3 linked regions of the Notamacropus eugenii genome follow. The protein of the gene in region 2 purifies or fractionates together with the protein of the main gene of each other region. This does not show direct contact. Links are inferred from orthologs where the notes say so. Each region holds a gene or a part of one and is shown on either strand. Other genes may lie near its edges. The genes, in order: ARPC3, ARPC1A and ARPC2.

The links.
Region 1: the proteins of ARPC1A (region 2) and ARPC3 purify together in Homo sapiens (affinity purification with mass spectrometry; 8 studies listed by BioGRID and IntAct, counting the BioPlex papers as one, with this or other methods). This does not show direct contact. The link is inferred for Notamacropus eugenii from reciprocal best matches to the Homo sapiens genes ARPC1A and ARPC3.
Region 3: the proteins of ARPC1A (region 2) and ARPC2 purify together in Homo sapiens (affinity purification with mass spectrometry; 8 studies listed by BioGRID and IntAct, counting the BioPlex papers as one, with this or other methods). This does not show direct contact. The link is inferred for Notamacropus eugenii from reciprocal best matches to the Homo sapiens genes ARPC1A and ARPC2.

The regions. Positions count from the first base shown.
Region 1 is NC_092875.1:35,944,490-35,951,928, reverse strand, and holds the start of ARPC3 (actin-related protein 2/3 complex subunit 3), read right to left. Parts: upstream 3,083-7,439; 5' UTR 2,771-3,082; coding exon 2,765-2,770; intron 240-2,764; coding exon 140-239; intron 1-139. Other genes in the region: GPN3 (GPN-loop GTPase 3), read right to left, coding at 6,932-6,994. UniProt on the Homo sapiens protein: Component of the Arp2/3 complex, a multiprotein complex that mediates actin polymerization upon stimulation by nucleation-promoting factor (NPF).
Region 2 is NC_092874.1:379,957,447-379,965,482, forward strand, and holds the start of ARPC1A (actin-related protein 2/3 complex subunit 1A), read right to left. Parts: upstream 3,078-8,036; 5' UTR 2,903-3,077; intron 1-2,902. UniProt on the Homo sapiens protein: Probably functions as a component of the Arp2/3 complex which is involved in regulation of actin polymerization and together with an activating nucleation-promoting factor (NPF) mediates the formation of branched actin networks.
Region 3 is NC_092877.1:316,739,401-316,746,724, forward strand, and holds the start of ARPC2 (actin-related protein 2/3 complex subunit 2), read left to right. Parts: upstream 1-4,317; 5' UTR 4,318-4,667; coding exon 4,668-4,741; intron 4,742-5,022; exon of another isoform or gene 5,023-5,111; intron 5,112-7,324. UniProt on the Homo sapiens protein: Actin-binding component of the Arp2/3 complex, a multiprotein complex that mediates actin polymerization upon stimulation by nucleation-promoting factor (NPF).

The sequences.
Region 1 (7,439 bases), on a different chromosome or scaffold from region 2:
GGTACAAACAGCAGCCTGAGCTGAGGAAGATGACAAAAATTTTCCACGTTCACAATTTCCTAGGGTTGAATGGTTACCTTGATACCTCACTCCACAAAACCACTTTTTACAAAATGAAAGAAAAAGAATATAGACTTACTTTCTCTTGGAGCTGGTCCTTTAAATTGACTCCTAATGGGTAAAAGTGCCATGTTTCCAATGAGTTTGGTGTCGGGATCCATGAGAGAGGAGTGGTATGCCTGCAATTTCAGTCATGTAAGAATACAAAAGGGGCAGGGAGATAAACACCATAGAATCATAGAATCTCATCCTGAGAAGGAGACTCAGAAGTCATCAAGTAAATATGTCTAGCACTCCATCATCTAGCCTTTGATGGTGACCTCTAGTGGGGTGAAGGGAACAAGCATTTATATACCACCTACTGTGTGCCAGTCAAGGTGCTAAGTGCTTTACAAATATCTCCTTTGACCCTCATAACAATCCTGGGAGATCGGTGCTATTATTTTCTTCATCTGTTAGGGATACTGAGGCAGAAAAAGGTTAAGTGACTTGCCCAGAGTCACACAGTTCAAAAGTGTCTGAGGAAGGATTTGAATTTGGGTCTTCCTGATTCTAGACCTTGAACTCTGGGCACTGTGGCACCACCAGCTCTCTCCATTGAAAGGAACCACTCAACCTGTGGAGAGTTTTAATTGTTGGAAAAATTTTCTTGACAAAAAGTCTGCCTCTTCAGTACTTCCACCTCTTTGGCCAAACAGAATAAATCTCAGACCTTCTACATGAGGGTCCCTCAGACATATAAGGAAACCAGCCCTCCTCCTCCTGCTCTTCTCCAGGCTGAACACTAGCAGTTCCTCCCCCTGATCCTTGAAGGACAAGGTTCCCTGGGCACCCACGTCACCCTATTCTGGGTGCTCTCCAGCTTGTCAGTGTTGTTCCTAAACTATAGACACCATGCTCTCAATGTGCAGGGCAGAGCTCAGCTGACCTAGACTCTCTTGGGTCACAGCCACTGTGACTTACTTATTACCCGTAGAGCCTAAAAGAGAATTTGTTTTTTGGGCTGTTATATCACCCTGGTGACTGATAATAAAACCCCCAGATCTTCTTCACACAAAGGTCTAGACATTTTGTATGCAGGTCAATGATGCATCTTACTGAAGAAAAAAAGACAACCCACCCAAGAGAAAGAGTTGCTGATACTTCCTGGTTAAAACATCTTCACAGGATCAAAGATTATTAGGGCTGGAAAAGACTCTAATGATCACAGAGCTCAAAAGCCCTGGAGGGAGGATTACAGAGGGAGCCACTGAAGTCCAACACTGGGAGTCTCTGAACATCATTTGTAAAATAGGGACATTAGGATTTAGAGGTGATGGAGATTCTATTAATCATCTAATGCAAGTCTATAATGCAAGTGTACAATCTGCCTCTATAAATCCTAGTGCTGGAGTCCTTGGAGGAAAGAGCTTTGGAAATCTGGACTCACTACAAAAAGAGGAGATGTCATTCAGGAACAGGCCTCTCACAGCCACTGTGAGTGACAAGGAGGCTGTAGGTGCGGTAAGCGAAGGAGCCCGAGAGGAAATCTGACAAAAAGAGGGAGAGAAGACACTGAGAGGAGCTTCGCCATCCAGCCAGAGTCTGGAGCTGGGAAAGAAAAGGAAAGGCATACAGAAGCCGAGAAGGGAGAGTATGAGGTAGGGGGGCTGGGGGGCCCACGGCACACTGGAGCTGCTCTCAGAGGGCCTGGGTCCAAGTTCCTGATTCACATCCGACTCTCTGTGAGGCTTTGGGGAAGTTACTTCGCTTCTATGTGAAATGAAAACATCTGACCCCAGGAGGGCTGGCCAAATCTCTTCTGTGTTTCTATTAAGGAGAGGCAGTTCTTTTGCCTCTCCAGCCCCAGCCCCCTTATACTGGCCAAGCTGGACCGGCTAAGGTCCAAGTTCCCGCTCTGTGCACCTCAGTTTCCTCATCTGTCAAATAAGAAAGGTGGACTCGAGGACTCCCAGGTTTGGCTGCAGGAGGAGGCAGCCACCCTCGCACCTCTCAGCACCTTTAACTGTCAAAGGAAGGGGTTGGGGGGAGAATCCCTCCATCTGGCCCTGACTCTCCATCACCACCAGGAGCTGCTCTCTCCCCCGTGCCTCAGTTTCCCTGTGTCCCACGAAGGACCTGTTCTTTATATATGTTCATATACGTTCTTTGGGCTCCAGCCCCAAGTCAGTTAGACAATTAATCCCAAAGGACAGAAGGGTCTTTAATGTTCGTAGCCCTGTTTTCCCACCCATCAGAGCAGGGAGCCGGGCTCAAGGATCCACCTGTGACCGTGACCACCAAGGGAGGCGGCCGCACTGGGGGGTCTCCAAGCCCCCACCAATGAGGCCCTCCGCCCTCGCCGGGCCTCAGTGTCCCCGCCTGTCAAATAAAAGGGCGGGGCTGCTGGGGTTCCAGGCCTCCATCCCACACCCACCGCGCTCTCCCCTCCGAGGCCTCCGTTTCCTGGTAGCTCCGGGCGGCGATCTCCTCGCCCCAACTCCAGGCCGGCTACCCTACGAGGAAGGCCTCGGGGGCTCCCGTGCCTCAGTTTCCCCACCTCGCAGAGGTCTTTGCTGCCAGGTCCTCCCCCGCACACCAGACCGGCCTCCCTCCCCCAAGGCCGGACCCCCACCCTGGCCTCCTCCGCCGGCCCCCTCGCACTCCTCGGGGTCGCTCCCGCCCCCGGGGCCCTCTAAGGCCTCAGCCTCTCCCCGCGCCTCACCGGCATCTTGGCGGCCGGGCCTGGGCTTCGGGCGAGCAGAAGATTCTGGTTCCTGTCAGAGACCCCGATACTTCCGGTCTAGCGGCCGGGTGGGGTCTAACCGGAAGCGATCCGGAAGAGACAGAGGCGGGAGGAGGTCGCGCTTCCGGTGTGGCCGCCGGGAACACTAGAGGGAGCCAAAGAACTAGAGCTGCGGCGCCGAGCTCGCCTGCCCGTGCGCATGCGCGAAGGCCCCCCCGCCCAGGGCTTGGAGCTCCTTGCAGTGGCTTCTGAGGCTGCGCACCACAACGCCGTGGGCGGGGCGGGGCGGGGCGGGGCGGGGCGGGGCGGGGCGAGCACAAGCATCCCCTGTTTTAAAGAAATTGGCCCCACGTGGTGCTGGCCTTGGGGAAAACGAAGGTGTGGGTTCGAATCCTGCCTCTTAGGGAATGGGTGACCCCGGGCAAAAGTCAGTTAGCCAACCCCTCTGGGCCTCAGTTTTTTCATCTGTAAAATGCGCGTTTTATTTTCTTATTTGAAGAAAATCATCGCTGGAGAACACAAGTTTCTTAGTATTTGGGGCTTCATTTCTTAGTGCAGCTGGAGTATAAAGAAATACAATATATGAACATTTTTATAATGAGAAGTTACATATATTTTAAAAGAATAAAAGTCTAAAAACTGCACTTGGGGGTCTTGGGAAGCAGAAAAGAGGTCAAGATAAAAGGCCATAGGAAAATGGGTGGAAAGAGTGTGCTTCTATGTGGCTGGATGAGGGAAGAGCCATGGAAGAAATGAAAGGATTGGGAAAATCAGATGAGGAGGGAGGGGCCCACCCATCTCATCCCACAGTTCATCATGATTTTTGGAGGTGGGGGTGCCTCACCCCCAAATCACTATCCTAATAATTGTCCTCAACTCACAAGAGCCAGAACCTAGGTGTGCATTTTTCAGCTTATTTTAAAATGCACAATGCATCTTGACAGCAGGGAAAAAAACCAAAACACTTCATATTCACACACAACAAAAATATGTTTAATATGCAATTTAAACTAAATTGTCAAAATCTGTAACCTTTTAATGCAATAGACCAGGGGGTTATTAACCTGGGGTTTGTGAACTTATGTAATATTATGAAAACCATATTTCAGTATTATTGTATGTTCTATTATTTAAAATCATTATTCTGAGGTGTCTATATGTTTCATTATACTGCCAAAGGGGTTCATGACACTCCCAGACATAGACTGGTCATTATATTACCTTGGGATAAAGTCAAAGAGGATTGTATTTTTTTTTTTTTACTAGTTTGACATCAACAAAATTCCAGATAAGAAGAAAAAAATCTAGGACTTGTGACTTAAAGAAAAAAATCAAAGCCTCATTGATTACATCCTGAGGAAATCATCCCAAGACCCTCCTCTGATGTCTCAGCCTAGTCTAGTGGGAAGCCAAATTGGGTTTGAGAGCTACCTCACTTACTAGCTTTGTGACCTTCTGCAATTCATTTTACCTCCTTTGGACTCAATTCCTCATCTGGAAAATGGACTTGGTGACCTCTAAAGACCCTCTCAAGGTTATGCCAGGGGACCTCAAGCTCTGGTAGGTCCTTGTCAAGCTGGGGTGGTTTTGATTATGGTCCTGGGAATGGTCTCTAAGTACATTTTCAAGGGTTATCAAGAGACTCACCACTGGCTTGGCAGCTAGGTGTTCTGGGTTTTTCTTTTTGCCCCAACAACTGCCCCAGTCACTGGACTGATGAGACTATAGATCATTGAAATGTGTTAGATAAAATATTTAGGTAACATGCTATCTTGGGTACTGAGAAAACCTAAAATCTGAATGACACAAAATACGTAGGATATTATTATATAAGGATATGAAGCAGTGGAAAGAGCACCAGACCTGGAGCCAGGAAGCCCTGAGTTCAAAATTTAGCTTCAGACACTTACTAGCTGTGTAACCCTGGGCAAGTCATTTAGCCTCAGTTTCTTCATCTGTAAACTCAACTGGAGCAGGAAATGGCAAACAACTCCAGTATCTTTGCCAAGAAAACCCCAAATGGGGTCATGACGAACCAGACACAGTTGAAACAACTGAATAACAACATGCAAATTAAATTTGGCTACCTAGTGGGTGTTCATTTAAGCAACAAGAGCATTTAAAAAGGGAAAAAATAGTCTCGTCCTTAAATATCTACAGTCTCCCCTGCCTTGTAACTTGGGCACAGAAGAAAGCTGCAGACCATCTATTTTTTCTCCTTAGGATGTTACTGAAGACTCCAGATATTGCTATCTGCTCCCCAAAGATCTCTGGGAGGTACACAAATACTGCCCAAAATGTGAAATCCGGGGCAAGTCATGGCCATGAATATCCCTCTGGGCTCTAATTTTATGATCCCAGCACAACTGATGTGACCTGGGACAAGGTTGATTGGCCACTAAGGTCCTCTCCAATTGTGAAATTCAATTCTTTGAATTCACTCCATCATTCTGGGCTTGTCTCCTCATAGTAAAATGGGTGGATGAGGTAAGGTGCCCTCTATATGACCCCTGAAGGCACCTTGCAACTCAAAAATCAATTATCACCATGAGCCTAATAGACATTACGCTTAGGTCAGGAAAAAGGCTCAGCAGGAATTTTAGGAGAGGCTTTGCATTTCCAGCCTATGAATTCAGGGGGCAGCAAGTGTGCCACAGAATATGGGATTTGTAGCCAGAGAACCTGGGTTTGGGCCTCAGATCTGAGAGACCTTGGGCAAAATGATCCATTTTTCAGGTTCCTTCACATGACCTGCCACTTACAAAGTTACAAGGGGCAGCATGCCTGAATGCCAGCCTTTGGCCAGTGAGCTCCCTGAGGGCAGGGACTGGTTTTTACTTGGATAGCACAACACCTGACCCAGAGTAGTTGATAGCCTGGCCAGATTAAGGAAGTCTAAAAAAGAGATGAAACAGCAAAATCAAAATAGTTTTTTAGATGTTCTGCAATGTCCGCCATGTTTTACTTGGCCCACCTCAAGACGATGATTCTTCATTGTTTTGGAATCACTACATTTCAACTTTCTTCACTAAGTTCAGAATTCTATAAGTGTCCTGCCTCATTCTGACCTGGTCGTCGTCCTTCCAGCGGCCATGCTGGAAGCTACCCTTTCCTTCGGGGGAAGGCACGCAGAAGGTCTTCCCTCCTCTGAATTCCGTTTTTAATAAATTTTTCTTGATAGCTTTTGTGTGTGTCAAGTTCATCCCTAATACCAAAAACTGCCCTTGGTAGGAATTTGGATGAGGTAGCATGACATGGGGCAGAGAAGTCAGAAAGACCTGGCTTCCAACACTGCCTCTGTCACTTGGTGGCTGTGTGACCCTGGGAAAGCCATTTAACCTCTAAGGAAATTCATTAACATGGTTAAGTTACACACAGTTGTCAATTTGAAAATGGCACAGGGTACTTAAGTCTGGCCCAAAAAGGCAGGGCGGAGGGACTTCCAAATATAATTTGGAATATGAAAGGGCTACGGACAATTCAGACATAACATTTTATTTTTTATTATAAAAGTAATTTCTAAGCAGTCCATTCTGAGAGAGGGGAACAGAATCATTTTTCCAATAACGAAACCACAGGAAAGAATCTCTGAGGGAGGAGAACCCTCAGGCCATCTGGCCCAACCTGAACCAGTAAAAAAAATCCTCTCTATCACACTCATGACCTGCCTTTGGGGGAAGCCCTGCAGACTGCCACCTCCCAAGGAGCCCTATGCCATCTGGGGTTAGCTCGAGCTGTCAGGAAGTCTTTCTTTCTTGAAGTCAAGCTGATATCTCCCTCTGTGCCACTTGTACACCACAATGCAAACTATCCTTCCCCCAAAATGGAAGTAACAAACAGCAGCACCAAGGGTTTGTCTGTAGCCCAGAATTTGTCTTCCCTTAACAAGTACTATACACCCTAGAGAACTTGGGACTTCATTTGGAAACATTTGCCAATGGAGATTTTCCAAACTATTCTTTTTCTTTGGCCAGGCTGGGGGAAAGGAGAAGTGGCAATGTTCAGATTGTGGATTAGCCATACTCTTTCTGCTTTGGAAAGATGAATTCTCCATCCACTTCTCCCTGAGGCTAAACATGAGTCTTTATAAGATTCTGCCCACAAAGTTCTTCATGCTTTAATAAACACTGGAAAAATTAAATATCTTCATTCATCCCCACGGTCTTGAAAATAATCATCCAACATGGATGATTTTTCTTCTTCAGATTCCTTTCAACAAAGAAAGAGAAAGTTTAATTACTTTTTCTTAAATGTCTTAAACGTGCCAACAGTGGCACTTGTAGGTGGACATTTCAGGTAACGATTAATAATCAGCTAATATCTGGCAAATATTCAGTGTTTTGGAGCCAAAGCAACTGACAAAGACCAGCTATTGAGACAGACATAGTTCCTTGTAGAGAGGGCCCACGCACAGATCCTAGAAGTGCCAAATCACCTGGAAAAGTCTACTAGGTATGGGATTCCAGCGTAGACGCAAGAGAGGCCAGAGAGACAGACAGGAGACAAAGGCCTTTTTAGTCTTCTCCAGCTAGTCTGCTCGTGATTTACATAAACAGGAGCAGGATAGGAGGAAGTTAAAGGTAATTTCCTCATCACAATTTTGTTCATCTCCTTTTCCTATTTGAGGAAGTAGAGCTTTGAGAACACTTGTCCT
Region 2 (8,036 bases):
GCAATAATTTTCAGTTTTATTTGTTAACTGAAATTCAATTCAACAAACATTTATTGAACGCCTACTAGGCACAAGGCAATGTTCCAGGAACCTGGGATACAAAGACATAAAACAAAATATTCCCTGCACCCAAGAAGCTTATGTTCAATGGGAGAAATAATAGCTGACATATAAAGATTATAAATAAGACTGAAATTTAGTATTTTAAAGTGCATGCCAATAATAAAAAGTGTATATTTCACGTATGGTCATAAACAACAGTTGCAAAGACAAAAACTTTGACTTATTTGTGTAACCAGGCTACAGTAATTTTCCAAAGAAGTAAAATTCAAATAATGGCATAATTTTAAGTTAATTTCTAATTGAGCCACATTACCCAAGTTCCAAATCTGGACACACTTTCATGCCTGGTACTTCATTTTAAGACTGCAGACCAAGAAAATTCCCATATCTGACAATCTCTATAGGTGAATATTACGCTGCAAAGAGCACAGGACCCTTAAATCAGAAACCTGGGTTCAAACTTGAGCTTTTGAGTAACAACATCCTTGGGTCTCAGTTATCCCAGCTTTAGGAGGAGGATAATATTTATACTAGCCACCACCCAAGATAGTAATTATGCTGAAAAGCACCATTTATAGCTTTTATTTTTATTATTAACTGACATTCATCACACAGATCTTAGATTTAGAGCTGGAAAGGACTTCCCAGGCCACTGAGTTCAAACTGCTTGTTTTACAGATGAGGAAAATGAGGCTCAGAGAAGCTAGTCATACAACTAATAGATATCTGAATGGGGACTCAAACCCAGGACTCCCTGATTCCACACCCAGAACTTTATCCTCAAATGCTATCTCTGCGGGGGCACCCAACAAACCAGCACACTGCCTTTGTGCAGTCCTCAGCTCCCAAGCTATAATTTCTGAATTACAGTCACCCTCGCCTGATTTTAAAACTCATTTTTCTCCATATTTCTCTAAGAAAATGGCAGGGGAGAAGAAAATTGGGAAGAACAAAGGAGAGCCTACTCAATTCAACAACCACTTACTCAACATCAGCTCTAAACCAAGCATCATAAAAATTTCAACAAAAAATTCAACCCACATTCATTAAGCACCTGCTATAAGGCAGTGTAAAACAGTCCAAAGAATGCTGGACTTGAAGTTGGAGGACTTCTAGCTTTAATATCATCTAATTTGCCTAAGCTTCAGGCAACTTTCTAAGAGCTACCCACTAAATTATATATAGATGGGTTTTGATATTTCCATACCAACTCCTTGACCTTGATGTGTGGGATGCAGAGGAAGAAACAGTCCAGATGCCAACACAGAACCAAAGAATTATAAGGTATGGTCACTGCACTCAAGAAGAAACCTTCAAGGCCTTTGTAAAATTTATCAATAAACTTTACCTCTCTGAGTCTGTTTCTTCATCAGTAAAACCAGCAGTTCAGACTAGAGAATTTCTGAGGAACATTCTTGCTCTAAATCTATGATCCCAGATCGTACAATATGCTTCTTTAGTTGGTGAAAGAATATAAGTAGGTCGAAATAAAAATTCTTTTTCTTATATATACAGTTTGCTTTAAGAAAAGTGTCATTCAGATATGGAAATATGAAACAATATTTGTAAAATCTGATGCCTAGAATGGACTCCCTCCTCAACTCTACTTTAAAATGTGTTTTGCTTCAAGACTCAAATTAGGTACCACCTCTTCTATGAAGTCTTCCCTGACCCCTCATTTCCCTTGAATTTGTTTATCTGTGTACCTGCTGTATCAAAACAGTAAAATACAAAGTCCTGGAGGATAACTTTTCTTTGTATCCCCAGCCCCTCATATGGAGTAGATACTTAATGTCTATTAGCAGAATTTATCATATACTCATGCAACAGATCTAAAAAAGATATTTTGAAACACAGATTTCTATACATCACCTCTCAATAGAATGCCCAGGACAGGAGCTTTTAACCTCATTTGCTTTCCTATCTAAAAATGTAATAATCCTTAACGTCTACAGTTCTGGGATAATTCAGTTTGGGAAAAATATTTCAGCTCTCCGGCTGGCTTATAACTGATTCATCCTTAGTCTAAATGCTCTCTCTGACCCATCTAGGTACAGGTGTTTCAATATCGTTGGCCCCCCACAATGACAGAGACCGGATGGAACTCCCACTCTGTCTCAACAGGGATACGCTTTTAAACTCCTTTTTGTCTCTACCACCCCACAGGTACAACAGCCAGCATGATCACGATCATGGTCACCCTGTCCCTCAGTTCTGACTGGCTCAATTAAAGTGCCCAAGGATCTGACTGGTGGCTGCCCCGAGGTGAGGGTAGTGAAGGGGACTGGAAGCGAACCCGATCCCTGGGGGTAACTCTCCACTGGCTTCTCCCCACAGCAGGAAGCGAGGACACGCCTGCAACCCCGGGACGGGCGAGGCAGGTGAAGGAGGCCAGTCGACCGACGCCCAGTCTCAGCCTCAGCAGAGGTGGGGAGAGGGGGGCTAAGGTTCGGCCTCGGGCTTGGAGATAGGGACCCACCGGACCCGGGGGGCTAAAGAACCAAGAGGATGCCGGGAGAGGAACGGGGCACGAGGTGTGGGGGGGAGGGGTATTCGGGGGCACCCGCTCCAGGAGCCCAAGCAGGGCGAACACCTCCAGAGTGAACGGGGAGGGAGAGGGGGTTCACCGCCCGAAGCCTCAGAGGGTCAGGCCCGGGGGAGAGGGGCGGGAAAGAGACAACGGCCCGCCCACCTCCCCCCACCCCCGGGGCGCCCCACCTCCTCAGCCGCCGGCGGTCGGGGTCTGCCCGCCCCCCGCGGCCTAAGCCGGGTCCCGGGGAACCGAAGGCTGGGAAAAGGGCCGAGGGGAGGAGATGAGCAGCTGATCGCCATCCCTTACCTGGGCTGGGGAGGGTGCGGGCGGGCCCCGGAGCGGAGGATTCGCGGACTCTGGTCAGTCGACGCGAATGAGCTCCGGCAGGCGGCGGGAGGAAGACGGAGGCCGGGAGGGAGCGGCTGACAGGGATCCCGGAAATGGGCACGGCGCCTGCGCCGCACGGCTTCCCCGCCCCTCCAAGGCTGCGCAGATCGGCTGCGCAGATGGTCTGCGCAGATCGCGGGAGTCCAGGGAGGGGGAGGGGAGGTGTACGGCCCTGGGCGCGGGGGGCGATCGAGCTGGGGCTGGGAAAGTCGGTGCCTGGCGCATGTGCAGTGGCGGCGCTTGCTGCACTGACCCTCCTCCCTCATGGTAGACCCCTCCCGGAGGCGATGCAGAAGTGGAGGGGCTTCCTGCTGGGAGGGGAGGAATGCCGGAGGCTCCCATCTCCGTCACACCCCGAAGCTCAGGGGCCGGACGTGCCCGTCATTCATCCGTCGGTTCATTCATTCCTCCAGCCAAGCCCCAGTGTGGGCACAGTGAGAAGGCTCAGAGCGCTGCCAGGGGAACCTTCCAGGCGCAGATCTGCCCGTGGCACTTAGTGGCTCATCGCAGTGGCATGAAGTCCAGATTTCCTTAAGCCGGAGCTTCACGGCCCTCCCCGGTCTGAGTCCCACCCATCTTTTTGGCATTTTAATATCCAAGCCACCTGGATTACCTTCGGTTCCTCAAAAACTCCCTGAATCCCAACCCGCTCCCAGCTGACCCAGTCGGAACCCAGAAAGATCCAGGCTGAGAGAAGTGAGCTGAATCTACTAAAATAGAATTTGGTAGGAATAGATGTAAATTCTTAAGACTTTGGGTTCAAAAAACTCGCCTGCACACAATACATAAAAATAATAAAGTTGTGCTTTACCCAGCACAACTACCCTATGAGGTGGATGGTACAAATGTTATTTCTGTCTTAAAGGTAAAATAACTGAGGCCCTAGGAAGTTGTAGGAGGACGTTTGATTAGGGAGCAATTGGTCGGAAAAAGATAGGTTGTATTATTGTTCAGTCATGTCCCACTCTTGGTGTGACCCCATTTGGGATTTTTGTAGCAAAAATACTGGAGTGGTTTGCCATATCCTTCTCCAGCTAATTTTTTTTTTTTAGGTTATACATATGCAATTATGTAAAACGCTTCCATATTAGTGATTTTGTACAAGAAGACTCGAATAAAAGAAAAAAATGAAAGAAAAATTGAAAAATAGCATATTTTAGTCTTTATTCAGTTAATATCAGTTCTTTCTCTGGAGACAGATAGTATGCTTTATCATTAGTCCTTTGGAATTGTCTTGGATCATTGTATAGCTGAAAATAGCTAAATCACTCCCAGTTTTTCTTTTTCTTTTTTTAGAATTAATTTGTTTTCAGTTTTCTACAATCACTTTCATAAATCTTACATTTTCTTGCCTTCCCTTCCCCCTCCCTTCCTGAGTTGGCATGCAATCTTATATGGGTTCTACACATACATTCTTATTAAATACATTTTCACATTAGTCATGTTGCCTAGAAGAATTAAAATAAATGGGAGAAACCATGAGAAAAAACAAACCAAAACAAACATAACACAAGAGAAAATATTCTACTTCATTCTGCGTTTCAGTTCCATAGTTCTTTCTCTGTATGTGGATGGCATTTTGCCTCAAGTCCTTTGGGAATGTTTTAGTTCCTTGCATTGCTGTGAAGGGCTGGGTCTACCAGAAACAGTCCTCCTACACTGTACGTAGCTGTTACTGTGTACAGTGTTCTGGTTCTGCTCATGTCACTCAGCATCAGTTCATGTAAGTCTTTCCAGGTTTTTCTGAAACTATCCTACTTGTCATTTCTTACAGCATAATAATATTCCATTACACCCACATGCCACAGCTTGTTTAACCATTCCCCTATTTGATGGGCATAACTTGGTTTCCAATTCTTAGCCACAATGAAAAACATTTGCTATAAATATTTTTTTTTTTACAAATAGGTCTAGCAGTTCTCCAGCTCATTTGACAGATGAGGATACTGAGACAAACAGAGTTAAGTGACTTGCCCAGGATTACACAGCTGTTGTGAGGATAGACTTGAACTCCGAAGATGAGTCTTCCTGACTCCAGGCCCTATGGCGCCACCTAGCTGCCCTGTCGGTTTTAAGGAACCACAAATTCCACATGCTTCACCAGTGTGGACAGCTAAAGCAGTTTTGAACTGTATTAAGAGAGACACAGCCTCCGGGAATAAGGAGATGATACTCTCTCTGTATATTTCCTCATCTGGACTACTGTGTTCTGAGCAACAGAAGCTTAAAAAGGATATTGATCAACTGGAGAGCATTTAGGATGGTGAAGGGTTTTGAGTCTGTAAAGGATCTGAAGATGTATGTCCTGGAGAAAAAGACTCAGTGAGGTCATGGTAGCTATTTTTAAGTATTTGAAAAGCTGTCATGGCTAAGAGGGTAGACTTTTCAGTTTGGCCCTAGAGGACCAGACCAGAAGCAGTAGTTGGTAGTGAAAAGAGGACAATACAGGTTGGACCTTGGGAAAATCTTGCTAGCAATTAGATGGGCTGCCTTATAAAGTAATTGGTTCCCCTTCCCTAGAGATTTTCAAACAGAGGCAAGATGACCACTGGTTTGGAGCCACTAGGTGGTACAGCCTGGGACTTGGAGTCAAAAAGACCTGGATTCAAATCTTGCCTTAAACCTTAGCTTCAGATGCTGGGCAAATCTAAGTGTCATCTTCTAATTTAGGGATAATAATAGTACTTCCCCTCACAAGGTTGTTGTGAGGATCAAATGAGTCAAATTCTGGCATTCTATGATATTTTCCTAGAATACTTTGGATCACTCTTCCTTACCCGATATTTATTTTATTCATCAGTCCTGATAACTGAAGTATTGAGTATATATAGGGGAAATTAAATAGAATACAGACTGGGAAATTATTTAGAGATTGACTAGTACAGCCTTCTTTACAAATAAAGAGACTGAGACCCAAGAAGGAAGTGATTGCCCAAAGATCACACAGGTAGCGAGTGGCTGAGCCAAGTATTGAATTTAGGTTCCCAGACTAAGTTTGATGGTTTTTTGCACTTCACTAGTGGTTCTCAAACTTTTTGGTCTCATGTTCCCTTTAAACTCTCTCTCTTTTTTTTTTTTTTTTTGAGGCAGTTGGGGTTAAGTGACTTGCCCAGGATCACATAGCTAGTAAGTATCTAAGGTCAGATTTTAACTCAGGTCCTCCTGACTCCAAAGCCATCTTGATCCTGATTTGATTCCAGGGCACTTCACCACCTGGCTGTCCCATATACTCTTAAAAATAATTGAGAACCCTTCCTCTACCAAGAGTTTTTGTTTATGTGGATTTTTAATGTATATGTACGTATATGTGTATGTGAGTGTAATGTTAATAGAATAGGAAGAATTTCCTTGCCCATTAATAAGCCTAACACATGGAGCCCTACTGTGTGCACAGTAGGTCTGGGTCACATCAAGCTCAGACTGGGAGGAGCTTGCCTGAGTGGATAGAAACAGAGAGAGAGAGAGAGAGAAAGAGAGAGAGAGAGAGAGAGAGAGAGAGAGAGAGGAGAATGAGCAGAGACAAAGATCAGGCAGAGCAGAGAGAGAGAAACAAGCTGAATGGAGCAGTTGACCCAAGGAGCAGAAAGACAGAAGCAAGTGATGAGTGGGCAGAGGGAGGAATTTGTCTAGGGGAACTTGTTTTTGTGGGGAGGCCTGACAGAAAGAAGGTTTAAGATGTCTGAGCTTCCTGGATTAGTGATAAGCACCCTGTTAAATCTTACCTCCTGGTATTCTAATGATGTCCCAAATAAATATTTTGGTTTTGCCTTTGAGGAAGAGAGTTTATTATATTTTGTGAATTTACCCTTGAAATACACATGCATATTCATAGCAGCGGCTACGAGTATTGTATTTGTATTACAGTGAGACACAAAAAATGCAGCATATGGATGTATAATATACACACATACACATCTATATATACTAAGTATATATTGTATATGTACTGTATACATAGTATATGTATATACACATGCAGTATGTACATAGTATATGTACTATATGACATACATACTTCATGGTATATAGTAAATGTAGCATGACATACACACACATATACATATACACACACTAGAGAGATAAAAAACATTGCACCTTATATATGCACACATATATGTGTGTGTATATACATACATACTGTGTGTATGTGATTGTGTGTGAGAAAGAGAGAGAAGGGGGGAAGAGAGAAAGAGAGGTAGAAAGATGGAGACAGATAACATACCACCTGGTCCCCACTGCCTGAAGACCAGGTAAATTACATTTCACTTCTCCCCCAGGTTTTCCCATACCCTTAAGGAGATTGGGGGTGGGAGGGTATCTAGGCTCTCTGCAAATGATTCCAACCCTTTCTGATGTTGTTCCCTCAATTATAGGGGAGTGGTCCCCAGCATCCCAGTTCCATTTATCCACTGACAGTAAATTAGCTTTTACATAGGAAGATTTGCCTTGAAAAGGTATAATCACAAATATACAAACTTCCTCCCCCAATGTGTGGGAGGCATAATCCCCTATACCCCTTTATACCATCTCAGTCACTGGGGAGAGGAAAGGGATTAGATTTATAGTTTAGCTCAGGTCTTATACAGCACAGTCCCAGTTCTAAATCCAAAACCCCTCTCTGGTTTGTGCCCTAGGACTTTTATGCAGGCTAAACCATCTTGACTGCAGTCCTGGCTCTAAGGTGACCAAAGCTTGAACTCCGAGGTTCCGTGTGGATTACCTGCAACAACTAAATTTCAGGAGGACAAGCAAGGCAGAACAGAAACACACAACCCCCGGTCCATTTCTGGTTTGCTGTGGGTGAGCTAGGATCTTCACCCTCTAGAGACACTGAAAAGAGAGCTAATATTCAGTCTCATCAGTCTCATCATAGGCAGCCATTCAAAGTAGACTACCCCCACTCACATGGTAAAGGATGGAAAGGCCTCCATATTAGGCAAACTGGGCACGCTCAAAAGGTCATCTTCATGTTGGGAGAAGTAGACATGCCCAGGGAAGCCCAGGTTTTCACTCACATATATGTATGCACGTATGCATACATGTATATGTGTAT
Region 3 (7,324 bases), on a different chromosome or scaffold from region 2:
TCCATTAAGGTCTTCTGGGAGGCTGATATTTAAAACATGAAACACCTTTGCAACTGCTGAATAGGTATTTCACTCAGATGTATATTGCTTGGCCAGTTCACTCAAGGTGCAAATCTTCTTTTTAGCCTGACATGCATGACTCATCCTTCCGTTGGTGATCCTCTCCTCCAAGAAAGGTATAGCAAATTCCTCTGGGCAACCAGTGCATAGATCTATCAGTGATTCCAGACCTCTTAAGCCCACAAGACAGCTGCCAAAGATGGGAACATCCAACTCTCAGTATCACTGCTTGGTCACCTGGGATCAGGAAAAGAAACAAAGCAGAAGAGGCAGTCAGAGACTTGAGATCCAGTCCTAGGCTCACCCAATCAAGTATATAATCTTGCAGCCATGTTGGTGCAGTCTCCATAGCTGCTGCTAGAGAGGAAGGAGAGACACAAACACACTCAAGCTGTCAGTCTCAATCCACACATTCCCCAAGAATGGAAGAGAGACAGACAGAGAATGAGACACACACACACACACACACACACACACACACACACACGTCTACTGGTTCCCTTTTAAAGTCCAGCACAGAAGGGGAATACCTCCCAGGAGCCCATTATTATTGGGTTTTGCCCAAGTCATAGACTTAATCAGATGTCTGGAGGCTTCTCAAAAAGGTGCCAACTGGCATGTCTGTACCCTCTATAGAATCAGTCAGAAGTTTAGAACAAAAGCTCAATCCCAATAAACTCATCAAGTTGATTCCAGAGGGCCAAGACTAACCCCTACATTTGTAAAATGGGGATAATAAAACCTGTACTACCTACTACCTTTGTTGTTGTGAGAAGTTTCTTGTAAACATTAAAACGTAAATATGAGCAATTATTATTATTCCTAAGTGAGAAGTACTGACTGAATAGCCTGAGGAAAGAGTAGAAAGTCAATCCTGATGACTGGATACTTTGGCCCAGATAACGTAAGTATTCCTGAAGTCCCTAACTCTACCCCACACATTGCCTAACACATAGTAGACATTCAATCATTGTCTGGTGATTTATTTTCATGTAAGCACTCTGGATCTCTGGGTTTCTGCTTTCTCCTCTGTAAAATGATGAGAATGGACTGGACACTTTGGTCCCAGCAGTTACGGTAACCTAAAGTCTCCTTTAGCCATTCTTCATAAGCTCTTGGAGTTTCACTACCTCAGCTATAGAACTTTATTATCAGTTTACAATTGCAAACTCCTTGAGGGCAGAATTAGCTGCATTCCAGAATTCCTTATTACATAAATATTTGTGGAATGAACTCAATGTCTTCAGGCAAGAGGCGTTAAGAGGAGTTGGAATAGGTAGGACAAAATGAGACACAGAGGCTACCGGCAGATTTAACTAGAATTTTGTTTATATTTATATAGCACTCCATTTTACACACAGTGAAACAGGATTTAGCACAAGTTCACAAAGCACACACAAGATTTGAATCCACCAATTCTTCTGAATCCAAGTCTATTACATCAAGCTGATTTGTTCCATGTCACAGAAGCAAAAAGTGGTCTAGCTAGCACATTATGGTGCCTAGGTCTTTTTACTCCAAGTCCAAGTTTCTCCCTACTTCAGGAGTGTCCTTTCTGGGACTGTTTTCACATCTGGAAAACTTGAAGGGTTAAATGATCTCTGAGTTCCTTCCAGCTGTATGCTTCTCTCTAGGGGAGTGGATGCATAACCCACCCATTCAGAATAATTCATTTGACATTTATGATACATTTCTCTACAAAGCACCACACATTTCTGATAAGAGTAGCTGACATAGTTTTTAAAGCATACAGAATACTTAACATGTATTACATTTGATCATGCCATCTGTAAAATCAGCAAAGAGGTATTATTATCCCCTTTAAAATGAGAAAACTGAGGCTCAGAGATATTGAGTCAATTAATAAACCTTTATTAAGCATTTGCTGGGCTTAATTCTCGCTGATACAAAAACAAACAGTCCCTGTGGTCCAAGAGTTTGCATTCTATCAGAGGAGACAACATGCATTGTATAAGTATATACAAGACATATGTAAGGCACATGAGGTAACTAACCTAAGGCACTAGAAGTTAAGGGCACCAGGAAAAGTCTCCTGAAAATGGCACCTGAACTGAGTTTTGAAGGGTGTGCCAAAAGGCAGAGATGAAGAATAGTCTAGGTATGGGGGACAATCAATACAAAAGCAAGGAGACAGAAGGTGGGACAAGCAGAGAGGAAGGGACCATAGTGTGTGTGGAAGGGAATAATATCTAGGAAAACTGGAAAAGCAGGAAGGGGTCCAGTTGAAAAGAGCTTTAAGTCAAACTAAATTCACATTTGATCCACTGGAGTTTGAATGTGTATGGGGGGGAGGGGTGTTACATGATCATATCTGTGGTTTGGAAAAATTCCTATGGTGGCAGATGAAGGACTAAAGTGGGAGGGGCTTGAGGCAAGGAGCTCAGCTAGGTCCATAGTCAAGAACCTAGTAACCCAGTTATGCTTCTAATACACCATAATGTTTCCTTCCATGTCTCTTTACATATATATACGTTCCTTATATATTATGTTCCCTTAATGTTTTGATACACGAAAAGTCTCCCCTGTCTTGTCACAATCAACTGCACATGGTAAGCCAAAATCACAGGATTTCAGGCTGGAAGAAGTCTTAAGGGAACATCTAATCCTATTCCCTTGAAGTCCCTGTGAGGCTGTGCAGGACCAGAATGCAGGCCTTTGTTTCTGCATCCAGTACTTTTCCCAATCCTCTTTCTGGTCATTCCTTGGTCCCTTCCCTCAAGGATCTCATAGACCTAGCAGAAGTATAAGACTCAAGTTCAGGATACCTTACACAGCACATCCTATATGATGCAATTCTAATACAGGGACTTTCTGCAAAAGGTGGAAAATGTGTCATGAGGTCTAGGAAGAGAATCAAGGAAGACTCCCTGCGCACTCTGATACCTTTTGGTAAAAAAAAAAAAAAAAAAGGCATTAGCAGGCTGTGACTTCTGAAGAAGGCATTAGATACTAATTAATACTAAATCCTTAATACTAAAGACTAGTAATCCCTTCATTTTATCTATCCCCCACCCACCCACCCATCCATCCATCCATTCATCCATCCATCCATCCACTTCCCCCACCCTCCCACCCATCCACCCAACCATTCACCCACCCATCCATACACCCACCCCCCCATCCATCCCATCCATCCATCCACCCCTCCACCCCCCCATCCATCCCATCCATCCATCCACCCCCCCCATCCATCCCATCCATCCATCCACCCACCCATCCATCCATTCATCCACCCATCCATGCACCTACCATCCACCCATCCATCTATCCATCCATCCACCCATCCATCCATCCACCCACCCATCCACCCCCCCATCCCCCCATCCATCCATCCACCCACCCATCCATCCCCCCATCCATCCATCCATCCCCCCATCCCCCCATCCACCCCCCCATCCCCCCACCCATCCATCCATCCATCTTTGTACACAAAGAGAGGGGGAGAGAGAGAAGGAAGCCACGTAGGGCGGGGGCCAGGGCACCCGAACTCCAGTTAGGAAGACCCAAGTTAAAATCTAGGCCCGTGTGACCCTGGGAAAATCAGCTCTCACGCTGCGCTCGCCTCAGTTTCCCCATCTGTAAAACGGGGATGATCCCAGCAGCTGCCACCGGGGATCAGAGGATATTTGTGAAGCTCCCGGGGCGCAGTAAGCGAGCTTTTCCTGTGAAGAGGAAGAGAGGCCTATTTGTATTAGAGACCGCGTTTTACACGCCTCTCGCTGGAAGCCGGCGGCGGCCAGCCCAGGGTCAGGGAAGGCTGGAGCTCGGCTCTCTCTTCCAGCCTCCAGGCCGGGAGATCGGGGCGCTGGTCACCCGGCGGCCTGGCCGGAGGGGAGGCCCAAGGTCCGCCGCGGCACGGGGCCGCTCCGGCTCTTCCCGCATGGGTTCCCCGGGCCGGCGGGCGGCTAAGCCGCCGCCCCGGAAGAAGGAACCGGAGAGCGCGCGGAGGCGGCGCTCCGCAATGACAGTTGGAAGGGCGGGGGCGGCCCCGAGGCACGGTGGGAAAGTGGAGGCGTGCGTGCGTGCGTGCGCGCCTCCGAGCAGGCCGCGGAGGGTGGTGCTGGCGGGCGTGGCCCGCGCGCGCCAGGCTTGGGCGTAGCGGGGCGGAGACCAGCCGGCTCGAGCCACCGGTGCGTGCACCCGCCCGCTCCCGGAGGCTGGCAGAGAGCGGGGGGGGGGGGGGGGGGGGGGGGGGGGCGGAGGGGATGGGGGGAAGAAGAGCGGAAATAGAGCCACGGGGGCGCGCGCCGCGGCGGCGAGCGGAAGTGGGTGTGAGAGCGGAAGTGTCCGGCTAGAGCCGGGGCTGGGCGGGGACCGGGGGCGCTCGGTGAGACGGCGGCAGCGGCAGCGGCACCGGCGGCTGCTCGGCGGGCGGGTGCGGGCCAGGTCGCCGAGGCGGGAGGACAGGGGAGAAGGGCCGGAGCCGCTGCGCGTGTGTGGAGGCGTGCACCCTGCCCCCTCCCCCCTAGCCCCGCTCCCTCTCCCTACCTCCCGGGTCGGGGGGCAGCCTCGCTGCTCCCTCCTCCCCCCCTCACCCGCCCTTTCTCCTTCCCCGGCCCGGGGCAGCCCCCTCAGCCGCTGCCGCCATGATCCTGCTGGAGGTGAACAACCGCATCATCGAGGAGACGCTCGCGCTCAAGTTCGAGAACGCGGCCGCCGGGTGGGTGAGCGCGCCGGGGGGGCCCCGGGGTCGGGAAGCCCCGCCGGGAGGGGCGGGAGGCGCGCCGGGTGCGGTGGGGGAGGGGGAGCAGCGACCCCGTCCCGGTTCTGGGGGAGGGGTTGCGGGAGGACCCGGGGGACCCCCAGCGCTCCCTCCCGGGGCAGCCCTGCCGCCGGCTCCACTTTGCCGTGGGCAGGCAAACCTGCCGCTGCCGCCCACCCGCACGCCCCGCACGCCCCCGGCCTTGTCTCTCTCTGAGGTTCTGCCCCTTCCCCCCCCAGCGCCTTCGTCTGGTGATGTCTCTCCTTAGAGCCTGCTAGACCCCGGCCCGCCCGGCCTACACTCTCCCCCGCTCTGGTCACGTTACTAGGTGACATTCCTCCCCTTTGGACCTTTTAAAGTGGGGCTTGTCCTGTAGGCGTCTGGTAAACGTGGGGTGGATAGCATCTCTCCAAGGCAGGCACTTCTGAGAAGCCGCCGATGGCAGGAAGCTACCCCCCCCCCCCCACGAGAGAAATCAGGTTGCTCTTAATATTTAGAGCATCTGGCCAGGGAATTGGGTTCTAATCCTGTGTGACCTGTAGCATCTGTCTTTGCGGACCTGTGTCCTCGGCTGTGCGACTCGTTATCTGTTTTATGGAGGAAAAAATGGGCAAAGAAATCCCCTTAGGGACTTAAGGACTAAAAATGTCAGGTTTGAGATTCACGGAAGAAATGCAGTCGGGAGATAGAAGCAGTTTAAAATAAGCTAATTCGAGAAGGAATGAAAAGAAGTATTTTCAACCCCTTGTTTCAGTCTAGTATACTATGCACGGTAGTTTGTCCATACAGCGAGCCCGTATGTTTTATCGTTATAAAGCACAGCATCTATTTTGTGGTTGTTGAAGTGATACATAAAATGAATATATGTGCCTCTGAAGGAAATTCTTCGGTTTAATTATCAGATGGTTAGTTTCATGCCTTCAGTTTTCCCTTATAAGCCGGTTTTGCATTTAAAAGTTGTAAGCGAATCAGCTCCAGTTCTTATTTGGGTGACTGTTGTACCTTGAGCAGTCTAGCATATAGAAGGAAGTTGAATTAACTTCTGCATTTTTACAGCTGATCTTAATGCCATCAGGTCTTGACAGGCTTGAAGCTGAAGCAGGTTGGTTATGTGTAGATGTGTGTGATGTGTGTGTGTGTTCGTTCAAGCAGGGGCATGTCTTGTGGTGAAGGAATGCATTTACTTCTAATTACGTTTTAATTTATGATTGAACCATTCCATTATTCAGATTTTAGCTTTTTATTTTTCTCTTAAAACTACTGCTACAAATGGCAGGTGGTTGTTTCAGAGGGACCAAAACAAATTGGGAATACATTAAGTAGGTAACTAAGCATTGATCACAAAGATGAGGTGTAGCACAACATAAGTTGACTTTTATTGAGCAATATGACTTAGGACAAATGGGGTGTGGAAGGCAGCCAGGATCAAAACTGGTAAGATTCTGCTGAAATGTTTAGTGAAAATGATGGAAAAAATGATGGATAAAAAAGAAGTGTATCCTCAGGCCTCCTAGGATATAGGTTCTCTGAGATTGCCAAGGCAAGCACCTCCCAAATAGCACCTCAGACCTACTGTGCATTACCAGACATACTAGTGGAGTGAGATGACATGAAACAGTAGAGTGGTTACTCTGACTTACGTCTTACCAGAACTTCCAGCAAAGACTGCCGCCTATAATTGCCATAAACGTTTATATTGTTCTAGCAGTGCTTTTAACCACAGGCAGGACAGAAAAGAGACATGTTGTGGGGAAAGAACTCCTAGACAAAATTACAAGAGTTTGGAAGGATGGTCTTTTGAAGTGCAAGGTCAGAGAAAAACACCTAGAAAACTACAGGTTGGGATTCTTCTTACTGTTTATGGGGAACTCCTGATTCATAGCCCTTTCCAAAGTGTGAATCTTGTATTTGGACTATTTAAACACAAGAAACACCAGAAGAACTCTTAGAAATTCTTATTCAAAATTCAGTTATCCTAATTTTCCCTTTTTGTGAATCATTTTTCAGGTCACCCAGTGCTTATTATAATGATCTCAGAAAATATCTGAATTCTCATCTCTTAGAGCACTGTTATCACACAGTTTAAATGAACACATTTGAGTAGTAGAAATTTTTTAATTTGGAGGTCATGCAAATAAAGCCCAACATTCACTCCAACCAATTTACCTTTCATTATTATTAATTTTGTGGATATTGGCATATTAGAGGCAACCAAATTTCTTCCCCAAATAGCACACTTTTATCTGTAAGTGGTCATCTTCTTGATAGCCTTTAAACTAAGATGACATGACTGGCTAGAAAGTTACAGCCAAATTATTGTGAATATCCATGAAAATTAGCATAGATTTTTTCATCGCCTTTCCCTCTACTATTCTGGATGTTGGGTAAATGGCATTTTTCAGGTCATATCTTCCCATCCTATCAAGCAGGATTGCCCTACTTTTGGAGAGCATCCTTTGCATGCAGGAAGGGCTTCCAACCCAAGTAGAGATTACACAGCAAATATTTGTCTATTCATCGTTATATATACCATGAGAATCT